Saccharomyces cerevisiae S288C: one gene and its partner. The protein of the gene in region 1 interacts with the protein of each later gene in a biochemical or structural test. Each region holds a gene or a part of one and is shown on either strand. Other genes may lie near its edges. The genes, in order: CDA1 and CMK1.

Region 1 (17,288 bases):
AATCTTGCGTGTATTATTGTTGATCAATTGATTGAAGAAAGAGAAAATTTGCTGAACTACGCAGCAAGAATGATGAAGAATAATTTGACTGCAGAACTATTGAAAGGTGAGCAAGAAAAATGGTTTGATATTTATTCCGAGGACTATAGTGATGACGATTCAGAAAATGATGAAGCTATCATCGATGACGAATTAGGATCTGAGGACTATATTGAACGCAAAGCTGCGAACATAGAGAAAAACCTTCCATGGTTTTTAACTTCAGATTATGAAACTAGTCTTGTCTATGACTCAAGAGGAAAAATTCGTGGCGGGACAAAAGAGGCACTGATTGAACATTTAACCAGTCATGAACTTGTTGATGCGGCTTTCAATGTTACAATGTTAATAACTTTCAGAAGTATATTAACCACAAGAGAGTTTTTTTATGCCCTGATTTACAGGTACAACTTGTATCCTCCTGAAGGGCTGAGTTACGATGATTACAATATTTGGATAGAAAAAAAGTCAAACCCGATTAAATGCCGTGTGGTCAACATTATGAGAACATTTTTGACGCAGTATTGGACAAGAAATTATTATGAACCTGGCATACCACTGATTCTAAATTTTGCCAAGATGGTTGTATCGGAGAAAATACCGGGGGCAGAGGATCTTTTGCAAAAGATAAATGAAAAACTGATAAATGAGAATGAGAAAGAACCAGTGGATCCTAAGCAACAAGATTCGGTATCGGCAGTCGTACAGACAACTAAACGTGACAATAAATCACCGATACACATGTCTTCGTCTTCTTTACCATCTTCTGCTTCTTCAGCGTTTTTTAGATTGAAGAAATTGAAGCTCTTGGATATTGACCCATACACATATGCCACACAATTGACTGTACTTGAACATGACTTATACCTCAGGATCACTATGTTTGAATGCTTGGATAGGGCATGGGGTACCAAGTATTGTAATATGGGTGGTTCTCCGAACATTACGAAATTTATAGCTAATGCTAATACGCTAACTAATTTTGTTTCTCATACCATTGTAAAACAGGCAGATGTCAAGACACGTTCAAAATTAACGCAATATTTTGTTACCGTTGCCCAGCATTGTAAAGAGTTGAATAATTTTTCTTCAATGACTGCCATAGTGTCCGCTTTGTATTCCTCCCCAATCTACCGACTGAAAAAGACATGGGATTTAGTTTCCACTGAGTCGAAGGACCTTCTGAAGAACCTAAACAACCTTATGGATTCCAAGAGAAATTTTGTGAAGTATAGAGAGCTGTTGCGATCCGTGACGGACGTTGCATGTGTTCCCTTTTTTGGTGTATACCTATCTGATTTAACATTTACGTTTGTCGGAAACCCAGATTTTCTTCACAATTCAACCAACATAATAAACTTCAGCAAGAGGACTAAAATCGCAAATATAGTGGAGGAAATTATAAGCTTTAAAAGATTCCATTACAAGCTGAAACGATTGGATGATATTCAGACCGTTATAGAAGCGTCTTTGGAAAATGTCCCCCACATTGAAAAGCAGTATCAATTATCACTGCAAGTGGAACCGAGATCAGGAAACACCAAAGGCAGTACGCATGCTTCTTCTGCTAGCGGTACAAAAACTGCAAAATTCCTAAGTGAATTTACAGATGATAAAAATGGCAATTTTTTGAAGCTAGGTAAGAAAAAACCTCCTTCTAGGTTATTTCGATAAAAGTTTATACAATTTGCTAATCAAGAAGAACCTTAGCTTTATGTTTGATTGCTACACTCTATTATTTAAGATGGCTGCTTTTACTTAATATTCTTCGTGATAATACTGTACTGGTGGAGTGTTTTTCGTTTTCGAGGATTTGAGAGTACGCTTCATTTGCAGTTCTTCTTGATAAAGTTCGTTTTATATATATATATCTATTTTATATCTTTATATATTTTATTACACCCAGTTAAGTTATCGATCCAAGATTTTAAATGCCCGATTAGAGGAAACTTATTACCTGAAAAAATATCAATTAGTGATTCTATGAAAAGCTATTACCCGCATTCTCATAGTTCGGATTTTCAGATCCAGCAATATAAGAGAACCAAATGTAGCAGAAACGTCAAATAGTAAGCAACAGGAGTTACATTTGAGGTGATTTTAACTTAGGGAAACATTTGCTGATTCAATGTTCAAACAGCTGTCACAAATTGGTAAGAATCTTACCGATGAATTAGCGAAGGGCTTAGCCGATGATATGAGCCCTACCCCGTCAGAACAACAAATCGAAGATGATAAGAGTGGCTTGCCAAAAGAAATACAAGCTAAATTAAGAAAATTTGAGAAATATGAACAAAAATACCCTTTGCTACTCTCCGCATACAAAAATGAAAAATTAAAGTCAGAGAAGTTAGAGGCTGTTGAAAAGATTTTAGCGGAAAATACACCCATATCTAATATTGACGACGCAGTGGATACGTTGCCAGCTTTTTTCCAGGATTTAAACAACAAAAATAACCTATTGAATGATGAGATCAAGAGATTAACTAAGCAGAACTCGGAAATTCCAGAAAGCGCCTCTAGTGAAACTCTGAAGGATAAAGAAGAGGAATTTTTGAAAAAAGAGCAAAATTATAAAAATGACATAGACGATCTAAAAAAAAAAATGGAAGCTTTAAACATAGAATTGGATACTGTACAAAAAGAAAAAAATGATACTGTTTCAGGTTTGAGAGAAAAAATAGTTGCACTGGAAAATATACTAAAGGAAGAAAGGGAGGCCAAAAAACAGAAAGAAGAAGTATCTATATCCGAACTGAAGGAAGAATTGGCTATAAAGAACCATTCTCTCGAGGACAGTCGAATGAAGATAACCGAATTGGAGCAAAATTTGTCTTCGAAAAGTACTATAATGGAGGAAAAGTCCTCAGAGTTGGCAGAACTAAATATTACTTTAAAAGAGAAAGAGCGCAAGCTGAGTGAATTGGAAAAAAAAATGAAGGAGTTACCGAAGGCGATATCTCATCAAAATGTAGGAAACAATAACAGAAGGAAAAAGAATAGAAACAAGGGAAAGAAAAATAAGGGAGGCATAACTACGGGTGATATCAGTGAAGAGGAAACGGTCGATAACTCAATCAATACTGAAGAATATGATAAGCTTAAAGAAAATTTGCAAGAATTACAAGAAAAATATAAAGATTGTGAAGATTGGAAGCAAAAGTATGAAGATATAGAAGCAGAACTAAAAGATGCTAAAGAATTGGAAAACTCACAGCTCGAAAAATCAGCAAAGGAGCTGGAAACCCTTAACACCGAGTTGATCGATACCAAGAAGTCATTGAAAGAAAAAAATTCGGAGCTAGAGGAGGTGAGAGATATGCTGAGGACTGTAGGCAATGAGCTTGTGGACGCAAAAGATGAGATTAAAGAGTCTTCGAGTAAACAAAATGAAGAAGTGAAAACCGTTAAGCTGGAGCTCGATGATTTACGCCATAAAAATGCAACGATGATCGAGGCCTACGAAGCTAAAAATACTGAGTTGAGAAGTAAGATAGAGTTATTGAGCAAGAAAGTAGAGCATCTGAAGAATTTATGTACAGAAAAGGAGAAAGAGCAGACTACATCGCAGAACAAGGTAGCCAAATTAAATGAGGAGATATCTCAACTTACCTACGAAAAATCAAACATAACAAAGGAGCTTACTTCTTTAAGAACCTCTTATAAACAAAAGGAAAAAACTGTGAGTTACTTGGAGGAACAAGTTAAACAATTTAGTGAGCAAAAGGACGTGGCTGAAAAATCCACAGAACAGCTGAGAAAAGATCATGCTAAAATTTCTAACAGATTAGACTTATTAAAAAAGGAAAATGAGACACTGCATAATGATATCGCAAAGAATTCTAATTCCTACGAGGAGTATTTGAAAGAAAATGGTAAATTATCGGAAAGATTGAATATTTTGCAAGAAAAATACAATACCTTGCAAAATGTAAAAAGTAATTCGAATGAACACATAGATTCTATCAAAAGACAATGTGAGGAACTAAATGTCAAGTTGAAGGAATCTACAAAAAAAATTTTATCTTTAGAAGATGAACTAAATGAATATGCTAATATTGTTCAAGACAAAACCAGAGAAGCTAACACATTGAGAAGGTTAGTTTCGGACAGTCAGACAGATGATTCGAGCAAACAAAAAGAGTTGGAGAATAAATTGGCCTATTTAACGGATGAAAAGAATAAATTGGAAGCAGAATTAGACTTACAAACATCCAGAAAGGCCACTGAATTACAAGAGTGGAAGCATACAGTAACTGAGCTGAAATCGGAAATACACGCTTTAAAGCTTCGTGAAGAGGGACTAAAATCAGAGGTTGACGCATTGAAACATGTTAACAATGACATCAAAAGGAAGACTCAAGCCACTTCAGATGATTCCGATCAGTTGGAACAGATCACATCTAATTTAAAACTCTCATTGTCTAAGGCTGATGAAAAGAATTTTGAGCTACAGTCTGCCAATGAGAAACTTCTGAATTTAAATAACGAACTTAACAAGAAATTTGATCGATTACTAAAAAATTATCGTTCATTGTCCTCTCAATTGAATGCTTTAAAGGAAAGACAATACAGTGACAAGTCAGGAAGAGTTAGTAGGTCTGGTTCTATCGGTACTCTAGCTAACGCGAATATTGATTCCTCACCAGCGAATAACTCTAATCCAACTAAATTAGAGAAGATACGATCATCAAGTTCATTGGAGTTAGACTCTGAGAAAAATGAAAAAATTGCATATATAAAAAATGTTTTGTTGGGATTTTTGGAGCACAAGGAACAACGGAACCAATTACTTCCTGTAATTTCTATGTTGTTACAACTGGACAGTACTGATGAAAAAAGACTGGTTATGTCTCTGAAGTAAAAATGTAGCTGAAAGCAGAAGATACGTATATATTGAAACAGTTTTTTTCTTCCTGAAATATATCAAGAAGTTGCTGCATGTCTATATATAAAATACTAAAGCAATTTCTTTTTAAATTGTAATTTAATTCTTCCTTATTTTCTTCAATTCCCTGAAAATTAGGACAAGAATTCTTTTATGTAATCAATTCCGCCGACACAATGAGAAACTGTTGATTGATCATCACCTATCAACTTATTTATTTTAATGGCAAGATCGACAGTTTTTTCCGTTGAATCGTGTTCTAATATTAATCCGGTTCCTGACTTGTTCCAGTTTATTACATTTTGAAGAATTTCTTGTTCAGTTATGACAGAATCATTGAGAAGGAGGCTCCAATCAAAAGTATCGTGATCCCATAAGACGGCTTGTAAGCCAAATTGCCTTGTTATTGCTCTTACTCTATTATCTATTCCGCCATATGGAGGTCTGAACCATTTGGGGGTATGGTTGCCAGTAGCATTCATCGCCCAGATGGACCATTCAATTTGAGCTATAATTTTTTCATTCGATACATTTGGCAAATATACGTGAGACCAGGTATGTGAGCCGATTAAGTGTCCCTCCTTTTGCATTCTTTGATAGATATCTGGATGTTGAACTATATTGACACCTAAATTGAAGAAGGTGGAATTATGCTTCAACCGGTCCAATAATTTAGTAGTGGAAGCAGAAGGACCATCGTCAAATGTCTGGGAAAGTTTGGAACATGTGTACACATCATCGTGTTCGGTGCAGTGATGGCAATCGAAAGAGCACGAGTCCCTTGGAACACTGTCGCAATGGTTTTGATCATATTCCTTATAATCTGGAATTTGACTGAAATCAATGAAATCTAAAGGTATATAAGGTGGATCTAACCCAGGCCATTCTTTTAACCCGGTAAATGCACTAAGCCAATCCGGAAAAGGCGTTTTTGTAGCTGCCCTTTCCAATACAGGAAATTGAAAGTCTATCTGCTTTAAATCTTCCCTATTAGCTTCCGCGTGAACAAATTGCCCCAGACAGGAAAGTGCAATAATACATTGCAAATCAATTGTATTTAGTTGTATTCTCATTTTCAATTGCCGATCCGTAGAAATAATAACAACTCTTTTGCAGTTTGTTTACCCACTGTGGGTTTTTGATAAATAATAGAGGATTACTGAAGGAGAGAGAATATTTTAAATGGATTTTGATAATACTACAAAAGAATAGCCAGTAATTTTTGCGTTGCGTCACAAAATCAAATATCTAGTTTGTTCCCTGACGCATGTTTCTCATGTGTTACCCGTCCTTTTGTAACCTTCACTGCTACAGCCGTACTATGTGGCATTTATGGGTTAATAGAAAGTTCCATTAATCCGACATTAAAATTGGATGGATTAATGGAGAACACAAAGGCAAAAAAACAATGGAAGAACAAAGAAAATTTAGCGGAAGTAAAAATAACAGCCGAAAGCCAAATTCAGGCTTATCTTGCCTACTCTTTCTTTTATCGAATTCCTTTAGGCCGTTGCAATAGAAAAGTAATAAAAACGCATATACGTAAGTTGTAGTCAGTGTAATTGCAATCTATTATGCGCATCAGGTGCGCATACTACATCCATTGGTGCACAAAAAAAGGAACGCAGACAAGAAAATTATTCAGTTTGCTGTTCGTGATGAGCCATCCCTGAATATGACTAATGTTAATGTTCAATTTGGGATCTTATTTTTTTTTGTGCAGTAATAAGAATCTTTGAAAAAAAACTATATAAGCCTATATAGTTTGTAAGATATAAGACAAAACACACCTGCTTTTCCACTACACATTTTCGTTATTATATAAAAAAGACAGCCAAGTATACTTGTCAACAAAATAAACTCATAGCAATTACACTATAAAAACAATAGCATCAAAAATGTCACTAAGAAACATATCAATGATCACAAAAAATTTGCAAACAACTGCCAAGTGTTATGTCCCAAAAAGTTCACCTACATCAACAACTATTCCGGTTATAAGGGATGCTAGTACTACTCAATGTCGCAGAATAACTACCGTCATCAATATTACGAGTCTGAAAGGATATTCTCCATCTCCAAGAACAGTTCATGATAAGCCAATTGTTATTTGCACTGACAACGAAGAGGTAGAGACTGTATCGGAGCACGTAAAAGTATAATTTGAATTAATCTACTCTTAACACTGTTCAAATGTACGTGTAACGTTTTGACGCTAAAAGATTCTAAAAAATTACTTTTTAAAGTTATACCCTCTGACTTTATGTGACATCAGCATCCTAAGTACCTACCGTTCATAATTTGACGCTTTTCCTTATACATTCAAGCATCGATATATATGATTTTTATATATGTCCTCTATTCTAATACATACTTTTTTACTTTTGAAATAACAAAATATTCTTTTTATTTTTGCGAGTTGAATAATTAAATAAGAGATCAAAGATATATAGAGAGAAACTTTATTTCTCGGAAATCTTACTTCTAGTCGTAGCGTTCGATGTAGTCTGTATCACCAATACATTCTGCAATTGTCAATTGGTCACTACCAATAAGTTCGTTGATTTTAATAGCAACCTCAACTGTTCTTCGTGCACCATCGTGCTCTAAGATCAAACCTTTCCGTTTTCCCTTCCAAGTATTTATGTCCATAAGTATTTCTTCCTCTGTTCTGAAATCATCATTAGTGATTAATTTCCAATCAAAAGTATCGAGATCCCACAAGACAACCGTTAGGCCAAACTGTTTTACTATAGCTCTAACCCTATTATCAATTGCACCGTATGGAGGCCTAAAATACTTGGGGAAATGTTTGCCTGTGGCATTCATAGCCCAAATTGACCATTCAATTTGGGCTACAATTTCTTCGTTTGATAAACTTGGCAAGAATTCATGTGACCACGTGTGTGTACCAATCAAATGACCCCTCTCTAAAATATGCTCATATATATCAGGATAATTAACAGTGTTTATCCCCAGAACAAAAAAAGTGGTTCTTTGTCTCAATTTCTTGAGCAATGCCTCTGTCGCCGGGGCCGGACCGTCGTCAAATGTTTGGGAAAGTTTGAAACACGAAGTTACATCATCAACATCGATGCAGTTATAGCAGTCAAATGAGCACTGCTCTCTAGAAATTTTGGGACACTGGCCAGGATAGTACCTATCTAATTCTGGCACTTCAGTAAGATTTATGTAATCTAGCGGAATATAAGGTGGGTCAATTCCAGGCCATTGTGTAAGATTAGTAAATTCTGTTAACCACTCTGGAAAGGGCGTTTGCATATCTACTTCCCCCATCAATGCGGTACTCCCATTTGACGCAAGGCAATTTCCCTGTTTTAGAAAAAATGCTGCGAACAGCACAGATTGTATTGTATTGAAAATTTTCATCTCTTTTCTTGTGTAAAAGTAAATCTATCACTTAATTTTGTTTCTCTATATTCCACTTTGCTTACTTCTAAGCATCTACTTTGTTAGAACTATTGGTCTTTTTGAAAACACAAAAGTAAATCAACCCACTTGTTGGTATTTTTCTCTTTTAATTGCGATTGAATGACGGCCGGTCCGGAAAATGTGACATCTGGAAAAGAGAAATGTTGAAGCTGCTTCCAAGTGCATGAGACAGAATTTTTTTTACAGAAAATAGAAAGCGTTATCTTGTTAAATATTACTAACTAGTATAGTCATTCATTTTTTTCTTCCATAGTTGTAATATCTTTATTTTTTGTAAGAATTAGCGATAGCTGAGATTGCGTTCTTCAACTTCCTGCTCTCTCTTAGTCTTCTATCCAGGGTATCTCACCTTCCTGATTATCTTGTCAATAGCCATGGCTTCGCTGTTTCTTTATTATAAGAAGTATTTTTTGTTTTCTTCAAGAAATTTTTCGTATTAATATCTTTATGTTTTGTTTGCCTTTACTGGCCAGAAATTTTATACTTATTTTGAATAGAACACATTAAGTTCTACAGGTACCTGCAAAATATCGAGACAAAAGTTTGAACGAGAATATAAGGAATGTTGGTCATAAGGCGTAAACTAACAGAAGATGGCGGTAGCAAGATGTTACCAAGGCGACAACTCGCCTAGTATGTCACAATTATCTATAATTTTATTGTTTATATATAATCAAATCAACCGAAAATTACTCTGAACTTGACTCAAGGAGAAACTATGTTATCATATTTGACATGTTCAATTGAACCTCCAGACATGGTCAATCTCACAGCTTCAGCAAATTCTTTCTCACCCTCACACAGTAACTTTGCTGCATCCTTGTTTAACGGGTCATTGGGATTAGGCTCCAAGAACAAGAAAAGAAGCCCGGTTATAATACTCTGCAAATCTAGAGCTGGCGACCAGTCTTCTCGAAGAATATTTAGGCAAACGTTCCCCTTTAAATCGATATTTGGATGAAAGATCTTCTTCAAACATACAACTTTTGGTGGTTCAATCGGATAAACTTCGTTAAAATCCAAATTGAAATTAATAGATCCATAATTATAATATCCTTCATCAGGCCTAACAATTACCTCCAATTTCGGCGATTGTGATCTATCCGCACTATCTGGTGATGTTATTACATTCAAAGTCACTGTTGGTGGGAGGTCCAGCGAATCAAGGTCCCTTTTCAAACGAATTCTTGCTGCCGATAAATTAGGCTGAATAGAACTGCTGTTTTCATTTTCTTTTTGCTTTTTCTTTTGTAATTGGCGTAATTTCAACTATTTGAATAAAGCCAAGAATATACATATCCAGTACACATATACATTCTCACCCCCCAAAAAGATTATGTTAGTATTTTCGATCGCTAAAAACCGCCAATGAGAAACGGAAAGATATAGTTGCATCTACGTACCATTTTTATTATCTTGTTTTATATTCTCTAACTGATTCTTTAATGTCTCTAAGTACATTTATGAATGATTGGCCTTTTTCATCTCATTTTACCTTTTGGCTGATATCATCAAACGGCACGCGCAGGGATGAAGGTACGTTAATAGTATTTTTTTTTTTCAAGAATACTGCGAAGATGTTTGAGTTGTGGGAAAAAACATATTCAACATTAATAACTATTGTAAATCAAGAAAAAAATTAGATCACAAAAAGATAACTACAGCAATCGAAAACGCCACTCGTTTAAGGCAGATGAGATTTACCAGAGGATTGAAAGCCTCTTCATCTTTAAGAGCGAAAGCTATTGGAAGACTAACTAAACTTTCGACGGGTGCACCAAATGATCAAAACAGTAATGGTACAACATTAGATTTGATAACTCATACATTGCCTATTTTTTATTCCACAAATACGTCAAAGATATATACTATACCACTTACATTGAGTGAATGGGAAGTACTAACTTCGCTTTGTGTTGCAATCCCTACCACGCTCGATCTGGTAGAGACAATGCTTAAAGAAATAATTGCGCCTTATTTTCTGGAAACTCCAAGACAAAGAATTTCAGATGTTCTGTCCTCGAAATTCAAGTTGGAACAGATGAGAAATCCGATTGAATTGCTAACTTTCCAGCTGACTAAGTTTATGATTCAAGCTTGTGAACAGTATCCCGTTCTTTATGAAAATATAGGCGGCATCATTTCAACTTATTTTGAGCGTGTATTAAAGATTTTTACTATTAAACAATCTGGTCTACTATCATTAGTGGGCTTTATTAATGCATTTATCCAGTTTCCCAACTCTACAGAGCTTACTAAATTCACCTGGAAAAAGTTAGCGAAACTTGTGCTTCGTGGATCATTTCTAAACGAAGTTGATAAGATTTTGAATTCCTCAGCAACGTTTACCAATGATTCAATCGTCCAGTATTACGATGCTGGAAATGAGCTATCCAGTGCCTACTTATTGGAATTAATATCTCGCTTGCAAGTTTCGCTAATATCTCATCTGTTAAACACTTCACATGTCGGCGCCAACTTGAGTGAGTTCTTACTAAATCAACAATACCAATTTTACAAATTTGATCAAGAAGTAGCCGATGAAAACGATGATACGAAGTGTATTGATGACTTTTTTTTCAACGTAAGAAGCAATAAACAGTTTTTTACAGACATGTGTAAAATTTCCCTGCAATTTTGTTCTGAGTCACATATTCTCGACCTATCTACAGACAACCGTGCAAGATTTTCTTTTGATACTCGAGCCCACTACCTACAAACGCTATGTTTAATTCCGTTTATAGAAGATACAGAAAGCGAGCTTTTTGAAAGTTTTACAAACGTTGTTTCTGAATCTATTGATAAATTTTTCTTATCTGATGTCGTTACACCATCTTTGATAAAAGCAATTGTAGCTTCTGCCTCATTACTGAATTTTTTCACGGAAAAATTGTCATTAACTCTGATTCGTATGTTTCCTTTATTGGTAGCGTCTCCACATATCACGACTGAAACAGTTAATGATGTTGCAAAAATATTCACCACAGGGTTATACCCTCTAAATGAAGATGCAATTGTGAGTACAATTTATTCCATGAACAACTTATTAGCTGTTTCCGAGGACGGATCGCCCGTCCCGGTGCTCCGTGAGCGCCAATTAACAATAACATCTGGAAAAAATATTGAGAAAGACTACTTTCCCTTGCGAAATTCATCTGCCAGTTTGGATGGCACTGGTGCTCTGCTCGGAAATACAACTGTGGGCCAACTTTCCTCCCATGATGTCAATAGTGGAGCTACTATGACATACCATGCCTCTTTGATATCTAATTGTGTGGCTGCAACGACTACAATCGCCTCATACTATAACACCCAAAGCATAACAGCTTTGACTATCTCTATTCTTACGCAAAAAGTTAATTCTATGTCAAAGGAATTAGACGGTGTTATTTTGAATTCTTTGGCAAGACTGGCTCCGAATACTTCACTGACAGAATTTTCGCTTTTACTAAAGTTCTTCAAATCGAGAACTGTTATTGCAACAAAAATTGATGATAGCGCACTATTGAAAAATATTATTAAAGCGAAATGTGTGATATCAAAAGAATTGTTGGCCAGGCATTTTTCAAGTGACTTATATTTCATGTATCTTCATGATCTATTGGACTCAATCATTGCCAGTGGGGAAGTAGAACGATTGGAACATCACAGACCTCAAACGGAGATTTCCCGTGTTGCTGATCAAATCGCTACCTACTTAGAGCCCCTCGCCGCTCTACTACCTGTTCCAGGCGATACGCCATTGGACATCAATAAGGATGAAGTCACTACAAACAAGTTTAGGAACGCCTGGTTTAATTTTGTCATCCATGGGTACCACTTGGGCGGGCCTATTGTCAAACGAAATTTTTCTTTCTTATTAACTATTGCCTATAATTCACCACCGCTGGCTTCTGAATTTCCTGCTAATAACAAGGAGCTTTCATTGGAAATGAATACAATTTTGCGCCGCGGTTCATCTAACGAAAATATCAAACAACAAAAACAGCAGATAACCGAATATTTCAATACCAATATTGTTCAGTACAGAACAACTTCATCGTCTAAAATCATGTTTTTAGCGGCTGCCGTTCTTCTAGAAACGATAAGATGCGAGGCAGGTGATTGTTCGAAGACTCTACTGTACTTCTCAGACCCCTCCATTCTTTCCGGTTCAATTGAGAAGTGTATTGCAGTTTTGTCGGTTTCCATGATTAGAAAATATGCTAGGTTGATTCAAAAGGGTAACGATGCCATATTCAACTCCAAAATGATTGCTCAACAACTTAATAACTTGCTACTTTGCCTTTCTCATAGGGAACCAACTTTGCAGGATGCCGCTTTTCATGCCTGTGAAATATTTATCAGATCTATTCCATCATCGTTATGTCATCATTTGTCTCTCTACACCTTATTAGATATGTTAACAGCCCTATTTGATAGTATCTTGGACTCAGAGGCGCATAAATTTGAACCACGGTATGAATTTAAATTAAAACATTCTAAGACAACAATATTGGTTCCAAGCTCATCGTCCTGGCGCGCTACGACACTATCAAGATTGCACAAGTCAGCTAAAGAATGGGTAAGAATTCTATTGAATAGAAGCAACCAGGATACTAAGATTTTGTTGCAATCATACATATCAGATCTCGGTGAGTACAGCAGGCTAAATTCTGTTGAATTTGGTGTCTCATTTGCCATGGATATGGCTGGTTTGATTTTACCTGCAGATAAGGAATTATCAAGGCTTACTTATTATGGTCCAGAGAAACCTAACACGATTTCTGGATTTATATCTTTACATTCTTGGAGGTCAAAATATCTTTTCGATACCGCTATTACATCATCACCAGAGGATATCAAAAGGCAAATAGGTATTTCCACTCAAAACATAAGAAAAAATTTGACCTTAGGAAATAAGATTATAACTAAAGACGTAACTGATTTTCTTGATATGGCTACCGCGTTGTTAATTCTTGGCAATGGTGCACCAGCGTCATTGATATATGATATTGTGCACATCCCGTTCGAAGTCTTCACCTCTGCATCTTTAAAGATTGCTACAAACGTATGGTTAACAATCATAACTGAGAAGCCCGAAGTTGCACATTTGCTTTTAGTTGAAGTATGCTATTGCTGGATGCGCTCCATTGATGACAATATTGGTCTCTATTCTCGCGATCATGACTTAAAGGGCGAAGAATACCAAAAAATGGAATATTCCCCTTACGACAAAGCAGGTATCAACAGAGATGCAAAAAATGCATCCCAAGCTATGCAACCACATCTTCATGTTATTAAATTTTTTGCTTCCCATTTCGAGGGCACACTATTTCAAAGTGACTTTTTATTGAAAATTTTCACGAAATGTGCGCTTTATGGTATCAAGAATCTGTATAAGGCTTCACTACACCCGTTCGCTAGAATGATTCGCCACGAATTATTGTTATTCGCGACTCTCGTACTAAACGCAAGTTATAAGCAGGGATCCAAGTATATGGGCCGTTTGTCGCAAGAAATCACAAACGGTGCCCTAAGTTGGTTTAAAAGACCAGTAGCGTGGCCATTCGGCTCAAATGAGCTGAAAATCAAAGCAGATTTATCTGTTACTAGGGACCTTTTCCTTCAGCTCAACAAATTAAGCTCGCTAATGTCACGTCATTGCGGGAAAGATTACAAGATCCTGAACTATTTCTTGGCAAGCGAAATCCAGCAGATTCAAACCTGGCTTACTCCGACTGAGAAGATTGAAGGAGCCGACAGCAACGAGCTTACAAGCGATATCGTTGAAGCTACCTTTGCTAAAGATCCAACATTAGCAATAAATCTCTTACAACGATGTTATAGCAAGAAAGCTGAGGATGTTTTAGTGGGCTTAGTTGCAAAACATGCTTTAATGTGTGTGGGGTCCCCAAGTGCTCTTGACCTGTTCATAAAAGGAAGCCACCTGAGCAGTAAGAAAGACCTACACGCAACCTTATACTGGGCGCCAGTGAGCCCGTTAAAATCTATCAACCTTTTCCTTCCCGAATGGCAAGGTAATTCTTTTATCTTACAATTCAGCATATATTCGTTGGAATCACAAGATGTGAACTTGGCATTCTTCTATGTTCCTCAAATCGTACAATGTTTGAGATACGATAAAACCGGATATGTCGAAAGATTGATTTTGGATACTGCGAAAATTAGTGTGTTATTTTCTCATCAAATAATCTGGAATATGCTTGCAAACTGCTACAAGGATGATGAAGGTATACAAGAAGATGAAATCAAACCAACTCTAGATCGTATTAGGGAGCGTATGGTTTCAAGTTTCAGCCAATCTCATCGCGATTTTTACGAACGTGAATTTGAATTCTTCGACGAAGTAACTGGCATATCTGGTAAGTTGAAACCATACATAAAAAAAAGTAAGGCTGAAAAGAAACATAAGATCGATGAAGAAATGAGCAAAATTGAGGTGAAACCTGATGTTTATTTACCTTCTAATCCTGACGGTGTAGTTATTGATATTGATCGGAAGAGTGGTAAGCCACTTCAATCTCACGCAAAGGCGCCTTTTATGGCGACCTTTAAAATAAAGAAAGACGTAAAAGATCCTTTGACAGGTAAAAACAAGGAAGTTGAAAAATGGCAAGCTGCTATCTTCAAAGTCGGTGATGACTGTAGGCAAGATGTTCTAGCGTTACAATTGATCTCGCTATTTAGAACCATTTGGTCTAGTATTGGCTTGGATGTCTACGTTTTTCCCTACAGAGTTACTGCGACGGCACCGGGTTGTGGTGTCATCGATGTGCTACCCAATTCGGTATCCCGTGATATGTTAGGACGTGAAGCTGTTAATGGATTATATGAATATTTCACTAGTAAATTTGGTAATGAATCTACTATCGAATTTCAAAACGCACGAAACAACTTTGTTAAATCCTTAGCGGGATATAGCGTAATTTCGTATTTGTTGCAATTCAAGGATAGACATAATGGTAACATTATGTACGATGATCAAGGACATTGTCTACATATCGATTTTGGGTTTATTTTTGATATTGTCCCAGGTGGTATCAAGTTTGAAGCAGTACCATTCAAGCTGACGAAAGAAATGGTTAAAGTGATGGGAGGTTCGCCCCAGACCCCAGCGTATCTGGACTTTGAAGAACTTTGTATCAAGGCATATCTAGCCGCCCGTCCGCACGTGGAGGCCATAATTGAGTGTGTAAATCCTATGTTAGGAAGCGGTCTCCCCTGCTTTAAGGGTCACAAGACAATTAGGAATCTAAGAGCAAGATTTCAACCTCAAAAAACCGATCACGAAGCTGCACTATATATGAAGGCGCTAATCCGTAAAAGTTATGAAAGTATATTCACTAAAGGTTATGATGAATTCCAAAGGCTCACAAATGGCATTCCGTACTGATATACTTCGCACTTTACATATGCTTATATAAAAATACCAGTTTCCCATCGTCAATTACGCAGACGTAGCCTTCGTTTATTTTCTCTCTTTTTGTATATCATTGTATTAATCATAATCCATTGTATTTTACTTTGTCTTATCTGGCTTTAATGAATGACGCCGGTCACACGCGGGTGCCTGATTCTCGATTGTGCCAAGCCATTTGGGCACGGTGTCAAATTACCTAAAAAATGGCCGAGAGCCGCAAAAGGGAGGTCCGCGGGGCCGGGCAATACCCTTTGTTTTTCGAGCATTTCGGCGCCGAAATCGGCAAAGGTCCTGACCAATCAATAGAGAAATTAGTGCATACGAGAAAAATTTGAACCCTTCAGTTGTTCTCCGCAGGCGACTTTAACCATCAAACCTCCAATCGCTGCCGGTTTTCGGAAAGGCAAGCACAAAAAGGGAGGACAAGGAAAATCTTTTGTTATATATATAATCTTCCGGTTTTAGAGGTTAATTAGGAGGAGTATGTTGCTTAATTCCGTTGTCCCTTGTTCTGTTCACTCTTTCTTAGTTATTACATAGTAGAACGAAGGTAATAAATACTACCATTATTACTATAGATATACAATGCTGTCTGCACGTTCTGCCATCAAGAGACCCATTGTTCGTGGTCTTGCGACAGTCTCCAACTTGACTAGAGATTCAAAAGTCAACCAAAACTTATTAGAAGATCATTCTTTTATTAACTACAAGCAGAATGTGGAAACGCTGGATATCGTAAGAAAAAGATTAAACAGGCCATTTACCTACGCGGAAAAGATTTTGTACGGTCACTTGGATGACCCTCATGGTCAAGATATTCAGAGAGGTGTTTCATACCTAAAATTAAGACCAGATCGTGTTGCCTGTCAAGATGCTACTGCTCAAATGGCTATTTTACAATTTATGTCCGCTGGTTTACCACAGGTTGCTAAGCCAGTCACTGTCCACTGTGACCATTTGATTCAAGCACAAGTTGGTGGTGAAAAAGATTTGAAGAGAGCTATAGATCTAAACAAGGAAGTTTATGATTTCTTGGCCTCTGCCACTGCGAAATATAACATGGGTTTCTGGAAGCCAGGTTCCGGTATCATTCACCAAATTGTTCTGGAAAACTACGCTTTCCCAGGTGCTTTGATCATTGGTACTGACTCCCATACACCAAATGCTGGTGGTTTAGGTCAATTGGCTATTGGTGTTGGTGGTGCTGATGCCGTTGATGTTATGGCAGGTCGTCCATGGGAATTGAAGGCTCCAAAGATCTTAGGTGTTAAGTTGACTGGTAAGATGAACGGTTGGACTTCTCCAAAGGATATTATTTTGAAATTGGCTGGTATCACAACTGTCAAAGGTGGTACTGGTAAAATTGTTGAATATTTCGGTGATGGTGTTGACACCTTCTCCGCTACTGGTATGGGTACCATTTGTAATATGGGTGCTGAAATCGGTGCTACCACATCTGTTTTCCCATTCAACAAATCTATGATT
Region 2 (7,555 bases), on another chromosome or scaffold:
GAAGAGGAAACCGGATGGCATTTTGCCCAATGGTTTGAACGTTGTTAAGTTTCAAGCAGTACATGAATTTCAAAATCTGCATGCCCTGAAAAAGGACAAAATTAATGATTTCGTCAGAGGCCATTTCCATGGTTGTTTTGATTTCGATCTAGACAACACAGTTTATTTCTTTATCGCTGGTAGATATGAATACAAAAACAAAGGTGCTGACATGTTCATTGAATCATTGGCTCGTCTCAATTACAGATTGAAGGTTTCTGGATCCAAGAAGACGGTGGTAGCGTTTTTGATCATGCCTGCCAAAACCAATTCCTTCACTGTGGAGGCACTGAAAAGCCAAGCCATTGTAAAATCTTTGGAAAATACTGTTAATGAGGTCACCGCATCCATTGGGAAGAGAATTTTCGAGCATACGATGAGATACCCTCATAATGGCCTAGAATCAGAGTTGCCCACTAATTTAGATGAGCTGTTGAAGAGTTCTGAAAAGGTTTTGCTGAAGAAAAGGGTATTGGCGCTGAGAAGACCTTACGGGGAATTGCCTCCGGTAGTCACACATAACATGTGCGATGATGCTAACGATCCAATTTTAAACCAAATTAGACATGTTAGATTATTCAATGATTCGAGTGATCGTGTAAAAGTGATTTTCCATCCTGAATTCTTAAACGCCAATAACCCTATCCTTGGTTTGGATTATGACGAGTTTGTTCGCGGCTGTCACTTGGGTGTTTTTCCATCCTATTACGAACCATGGGGGTACACGCCAGCAGAATGTACCGTCATGGGTGTCCCATCTATCACAACAAACGTTTCTGGGTTCGGTGCCTACATGGAAGACTTGATTGAAACAGACCAAGCGAAAGACTATGGTATTTATATTGTAGACCGTCGTTTCAAGAGCCCTGATGAATCTGTCGAGCAATTAGCAGACTACATGGAAGAGTTTGTAAACAAGACCAGAAGACAAAGAATCAACCAAAGAAACAGAACCGAAAGACTATCAGACTTGTTAGATTGGAAGAGAATGGGGTTGGAATACGTTAAGGCTAGACAGTTGGGTCTTCGTAGGGCCTATCCAGAGCAGTTCAAGCAACTGGTGGGTGAAACAATTAGTGACGCCAATATGAATACTCTTGCCGGTGGCAAGAAATTCAAGATTGCCAGGCCTTTGAGTGTACCCGGATCCCCCAAAGTAAGGTCCAATAGTACTGTTTACATGACTCCGGGCGATTTAGGTACCCTTCAAGATGCTAATAATGCAGATGACTATTTTAATTTGAGCACGAATGGAGCCATCGACAATGACGATGATGACAACGATACGTCTGCATACTACGAGGATAATTAAAACCATCTTAACTTCTGCTAACATATCTTACTCTTTTAGCTGAGCATCAAATTAATTTTAGTATTGCACGTTCTGTTATTCTTGTATAAGTACATAGAAATAATAGCAGTAGAAAAAATAGAAGTAATTTTACCTTTACAGTACATATGTGTTAGTATAAGGAACCTTTTACGTGGGATACTTTGCTTACGAAGAAAAGGCTGAAAAAAAAAAAAAAAGAAACTCCCCCCGCGTTTAGAATGGTGCAGCCGAGCTACCTACGCAGGGGATAAAAAGAACGAAAGCCACATCGACTACAAGCCAGAGTATAAATGGTTTCAATTCTCGTAGAGAACTCACAATTATATAATATTGGAAGACACCAGAAAAAATAACGAGTCAATTACTATGGACGACAAAGTTTCAGAAAAGGAGAGCTCCCCAAAACAAACAGAGGAGGATTCTGAAGGTAAAATGGCACATGTGCAGCCTGCTTCGTACGTGAATAAAAAAAAATATGTTTTTGGGAAGACATTAGGTGCTGGTACATTTGGTGTGGTGAGACAAGCCAAAAACACTGAAACAGGGGAGGACGTGGCCGTTAAAATCCTGATCAAGAAAGCACTAAAGGGAAACAAGGTTCAGCTAGAGGCTTTATACGACGAGTTAGACATTTTACAAAGACTGCATCATCCAAATATAGTGGCATTTAAGGATTGGTTTGAATCAAAAGACAAGTTCTACATTATCACGCAATTAGCCAAAGGGGGTGAATTGTTCGATAGGATTTTGAAGAAGGGTAAGTTCACTGAGGAAGATGCAGTGAGAATTTTGGTTGAAATATTGAGCGCAGTCAAATATATGCATTCTCAGAATATTGTTCATAGGGACTTGAAACCGGAAAATTTACTGTATATAGATAAAAGTGACGAATCTCCACTGGTAGTTGCTGATTTTGGTATCGCAAAGAGATTGAAAAGTGATGAGGAACTCCTCTATAAGCCGGCAGGCTCACTGGGTTACGTGGCTCCAGAGGTACTTACTCAGGACGGTCATGGTAAACCTTGCGACATTTGGTCGATAGGTGTCATTACGTATACTTTGCTTTGCGGTTATTCGGCGTTTAGAGCCGAAAGGGTTCAAGATTTCCTTGACGAATGCACAACTGGTGAGTATCCAGTGAAGTTTCATAGGCCTTATTGGGATTCCGTTTCCAATAAAGCAAAACAATTCATCTTGAAGGCTCTTAATTTGGATCCTTCAAAGAGACCGACCGCCGCAGAACTCTTGGAAGATCCATGGATTATTTGTACCGAATTGAAGACGCACAATTTATTGCCTGGGTTAAAGGAAGGATTGGATGCTCGTCAAAAGTTCCGTAATTCTGTTGAGAGAGTCAGATTAAACATGAAGATCCAGAAATTAAGAGATCTGTATCTTGAACAGACAGAGAGTGATTCAGATTTTGACGAAGGAAGTCAAGCAAACGGTTCAGTTCCTCCATTGAAAGCAACGGATACCAGTCAACTATCCAAGAAGCTATCAGAAGAAGAACAGTCTAAGTTGAAGTCCGAGTTAACCAGCAAAGCTTTTGCACAATTAGTTAACACAGTGCTTGCCGAAAAGGAAAAATTTTTAAATATTAACAGAGTCTGTAGTTCTGATAGCGATCTTCCTGGGAGTGATATAAAGTCTTTGGATGAGGCGAAGGAGAAACCAGAGGGGAAGGATACCAAAACAGAAGAATGATAACAGTATGCCGTTTTACCACACTGGCGAATAAATCTTCAATGACTTTGTAAGCTCGAATATGCGCAAGATTTGACTTTGATATTTTGCACTTTTTCGTCCTCACTTTCTACCTTTTTTTTTTATGCCTTAGTTGAAAAGATACGCGTATCTAATTATGTACTAATAGTCTTAATTTTACATTACTTAATTAATCGAAATGCAGCCTGTAAGGAGTTTCACAATCTTCACGTTCGTTGAAAGCTAGTTGTCTAAGTGCGCTGCCTTTTAACTCTACCATCATCAAAAGAAGAATCATTGTCGTTGTCATCATAAATATCAGCTTCGTCGTCTTCTTCATCATCGACATATTCCTCGCTATCATATTCCGTATTATAGTTTACAGTCTGTCGCTGTATCCTTCTCAACTGTCTCTTGCCTGGCTTCATGTCTGCAAATTGCACTTTCATTTGTTCAAACTGACGAAGAATGAAATAGTAATCAGATAAAAATTCCTTTAATATCTGTAACTTCTTTCTCGCAGTGTTATATTTTGCGTCTTTTGGTAGCGGGTTTGTATTTATGGAGGGATTATTATCAGTGGTAGATTTCTGCTCCAATATGTGCGCTTCATTATTCAGTGCTTCTTTTTCTTTTTCATTTCCCTCCTTTTTCTCATCTTGAGGTTTAACAATTTTATAGTCCAAGAACTCCAAGAACTCCAGCAGTGTTGCTGAATCGTGGCATAATTCATACCAATAAACCTTCCCCGATGTATTTCTGCCTCGTGCAACATCATGCGCCAACGATGGTGTGTCATGGTAAAACAATTTGAATTGGGCACTCATCGATTGTCCATCATTTTCAAACAGTGTAAAAGCGTTGTATTCATTATTTTTGAATTTCGATAGCAATGCTTGTAGATTTCTCAAATCAGTGAAGGTGCTCATTTCGAGTGAGTCCCCATAACTGTGTAATCTTGGCATATAAAAATCACCTATATGGGGAACTCTACCAAGGAAGAACTCTTGTAATCGCAATTTATAAAGTCTTTCCGAAAAAGGATTGGCTAATGGTTGATCAGGTAATTCGCCTTCAAACAATGGGACCCACTTGTCGTACAGTGAGAACAAAAGTTCATCCTTTTCGGATTTTACAGCGTTCTTCAATTCCGCTTTAATTTCCTTCAGTATTTCTAGCTTCCTTGATAAATCTGGTTTTTTACCCTCTTTTAGTTGTTTAACAAAATGTTTTTTCTTACTTCTGATTTCATATCTTGATTGAATTAGTGAGCAGAGTTTTTTAAACTGATTTATGGTATTATCTACCCCTTCAATTGTATACCTAGGCACTTGTTGTGTTTGGATGCCAAAAACGGGATCTTTTTTACCATGAGTTAATTTGTATATCTCGTCATGAATAGCAGATGAATGGGAAGCGCACCAGTCAGTTAACGCCCTCAATAAAACAACGCGATCCATTGGTTTGAGCGCCAAAATTCCATTCTTGTCCATTTCTCGATTATACAAAGGATTTGATTCCAATGGGAGTGGTTCATTAGCATTCCAGGTATATATATTTGGCGTTAAAATTTCTGGATGACTGGGATCCACCACTGGTGTTTGTTCATCTTGTTCAAAAAGAGCAGTTTTAGGTTTGGAGATATCTTGGTCACTGGGGAGTTGTTGACGCCATTCTCGTGGATACCCCCATTCGCGAGCTACAAGTCTTAACCGATAAAGAGGATTGGAAAATACTTTCTTGGAGGACGATTTTAGATTCTCCCAGGTTGTTAATGGACCTTTCTTCTTGGCACTTTTACCATCAAAATTTTCAGTAAATGTTAAATCTAACAAGGATAGGAACAGTAAATTCATTTTGTCTTGGCAATAGACGATATCCTTGATGGCCATAAAATCAGGATATAGCAATAAGGAGGTGTCTTCAGGACCCTTCACTATACCAGCTGCGCTTCCATTAGGATCGCCGGGATACAAATCTAAACCGACCTCAAAATCTTGGAATGATAAATTTTGTAGGTCAGAATGGAAAAAAGAACTAAACTTATTTATGAACGCCATCAGCTTAATGATATCTCCAGCATATGGCACAGGCTTCATGTTCGGATTTTTTAACCTAGAGATGACACTATACTGGTTCTTGAAATCAGAAGTAAGCAAGGGTATTACAGAAGTCCAATTGCTAGGGATCAAAGCGGGTTCTACTTGTTCATGGGCTGGTTTAGGTTTCGGCGCCACTTTTTTGTCATTAGTCTTCAGTGTAGGTTTGCCATCCTTAGCAATTGAGGTAGTCTTCTTTTTCTCTACTTTATCATTTGATTTAGAGTTCTGTGTGGAAGGTGCCTTTTTCTTAGGAGGAGCAGGTCTCTTCCTCTTGGGTTTATTCGCCCTTTCCTTTAACTCTTCCTCGTATTCATCATAAATGCTCGTTCTTGGCTTAGGAACACGTCTTGATCTCCTTAAATTATCAGAAGATTGTGAAACACTAACACTTTGATCGGTTTGTAAGGGCATAGCCATTGATACGCGATCATGATCATGGTCAGCAAGCTGTGCGGAAGAGCTGCCCTGGGCTTCTTGCTGCAAATTCTGGATAGAATTGGATGGAGAATCCATAAACAATAGGGGATTGCAAACTTTGCTTGAAGTACTTGGTAAGTGATAGTTTTGTTGGCCGAAACCAATGTGGAAGATATCACCATCTTAAGAAATTAAGTCCATTCATTAGTATAAACTCACGTAATTTCAATGAATTTGTTAAAGTTTCAGCAAATCGTGAAGCACGATATTTCACTTTTATGATCCGAGAGGGAATATTACTAGTACTTCCACGCATAAGGAAAGTCAATGTTAACAAATACCGCCATACCGCCATACCTGTCCTCTGTAGTCACTGCTAATGTTAATGTAAATAAATTACATCTAAAAGTTGTTTTCTCTTCAGTAATTTTAGAAACCGTTAAGAGGAAAAATGGGCACTTCCTTTCTTTGTTTCAGAAATTAAGCTCAAAAAGATGGGCTCGATAAAAGTAGCATACTATTTACTCTATCTTATTTTTATTTTCTATATACTAGTCTATCAGACTCAGACGTCAACGATGTGGAATACGGATGGAATCATTAAATAGTAGCAAGAAGTACTTTATTCTTATTTTTCAAATTGCGGCGCGCCAACAAAACGCGTACAAAAAAAGCAGATTGGATAGTACTTTATTCTTGTTATTTTGTCATTGGAAAGTATAAGCTGGTTGTGGATTACTCTTCACACGATGTGCCTGTTTTTTGTAGGCGGGCTTGTACTTTCTGGGGAGCATGCTGTGTATGTTGTAGGTCTGTGGCAATGTTTGTCGGGAGTGTTCGCTGTTACCATGAGTTGTCTGTGAGTAGTAGCGATTGTAATTGTGGTTGTATCCTACTGGTCTTCTTCGGGAATACCAAGGAATGAAAGAGTTATGAGGAACCTCACTTTGATCCTGGTAATTATTTGGTTGTTGTAGTTGATATTGGCGGGGCTCTGTGAGACAATGATTTTTTTTTGAATATATTTTAAAGCAATCGGCTGATTGGGTAGCCTCAACGCCAAATAACCAAGGAGGGTCGTAGTTATCTTGTGAATGGCTTGAGATTCCCTCATAATATAAAATATTTGCCTTTTTTTTTTCAGTAGGCATTTCCACATTTTCTTGCTTTGCAGGTAAGTCGGTTATATTGATTTCATCCAAAGATAAGGATTTTTGATTTTCAACATGCCTTCTAGAAAATATTTGTTTACCATTCAACTTTGGAGCGAAGAAACTCACCAAACCTGCTTGCTTCAATGGAGATTTGATTTCAGGCGGTGGTTCATCTTGATTTGTTACCGCCAGTTTATCTTGATTGGGATCTAAGGTCCTTGGTAGATCATTAAAAAGACTTGTGATGTCATACACAGATTGGTCTGTGCCCTTAGTTGTTTGTGGATAATTTTCGCCAAGGGAACTTGATGTTTGACTCGTTCCATATAGTTTGAGAATACTGTCTACGTTCTCTATACTAGCTTCTTTAGCTATGTTTTCTGTCTGACTGCGCAGACGTATCAAACCTAAAACTGAGAAAATGCACGCCAATAACGAGCAGAGGGAACAGGGAACAGTTAGCCAGCCACACCAAGTCGTATAAGGATGAAATTGTAACAGGATCACGGTGCATGCAAAGTAACAGGATCACGGTGCATGCAAAAATAGTTGATAAAAGTGTCAATATGTGTAATATAGCGTTGGAAGTAATAAGTGAGACATTAGTTCCTCCAGTCTGAAAAAGAAAAATAATAACCAAGGGAAGTGCAAAAGAAATGAAAGTCAAACATGTAGCAACCGGTATCGAAATCAAAAGTCCTCCTATTGTATGTCTTGCCTTAGGACTCAGCCACCAACGTTCAAGAGAAGGGCCAGGTAATATTTCTTTCGAGGTGTTATATATTAAACGTACTCGAGAGCAG

Evidence for each region.
Region 2: the proteins of CDA1 (region 1) and CMK1 form a complex in vitro, tested with the Saccharomyces cerevisiae proteins (2 studies listed by BioGRID, with this or other methods).

Annotation. Positions count from the first base shown.
Region 1 is NC_001144.5:736,649-753,936, reverse strand, and holds CDA1 (chitin deacetylase CDA1), read right to left. Parts: upstream 8,318-17,288; coding exon 7,412-8,317; downstream 1-7,411. Other genes in the region: Ras family guanine nucleotide exchange factor CDC25, read left to right, coding at 1-1,713; IMH1 (Imh1p), read left to right, coding at 2,168-4,903; chitin deacetylase CDA2, read right to left, coding at 5,062-6,000; DPA10 (Dpa10p), read left to right, coding at 6,826-7,089; NEDD8-conjugating protein UBC12, read right to left, coding at 9,086-9,649, 9,784-9,786; 1-phosphatidylinositol 4-kinase STT4, read left to right, coding at 10,074-15,776; aconitate hydratase ACO1, read left to right, coding at 16,389-17,288. UniProt on the Saccharomyces cerevisiae protein: Hydrolyzes the N-acetamido groups of N-acetyl-D-glucosamine residues in chitin to form chitosan and acetate. Chitosan is a component of the spore wall.
Region 2 is NC_001138.5:168,061-175,615, reverse strand, and holds CMK1 (calmodulin-dependent protein kinase CMK1), read left to right. Parts: upstream 1-1,738; coding exon 1,739-3,079; downstream 3,080-7,555. Other genes in the region: glycogen (starch) synthase GSY1, read left to right, coding at 1-1,351; IOC3 (Ioc3p), read right to left, coding at 3,331-5,694; YFR012W-A (uncharacterized protein), read right to left, coding at 6,306-6,392; DCV1 (Dcv1p), read right to left, coding at 7,120-7,555.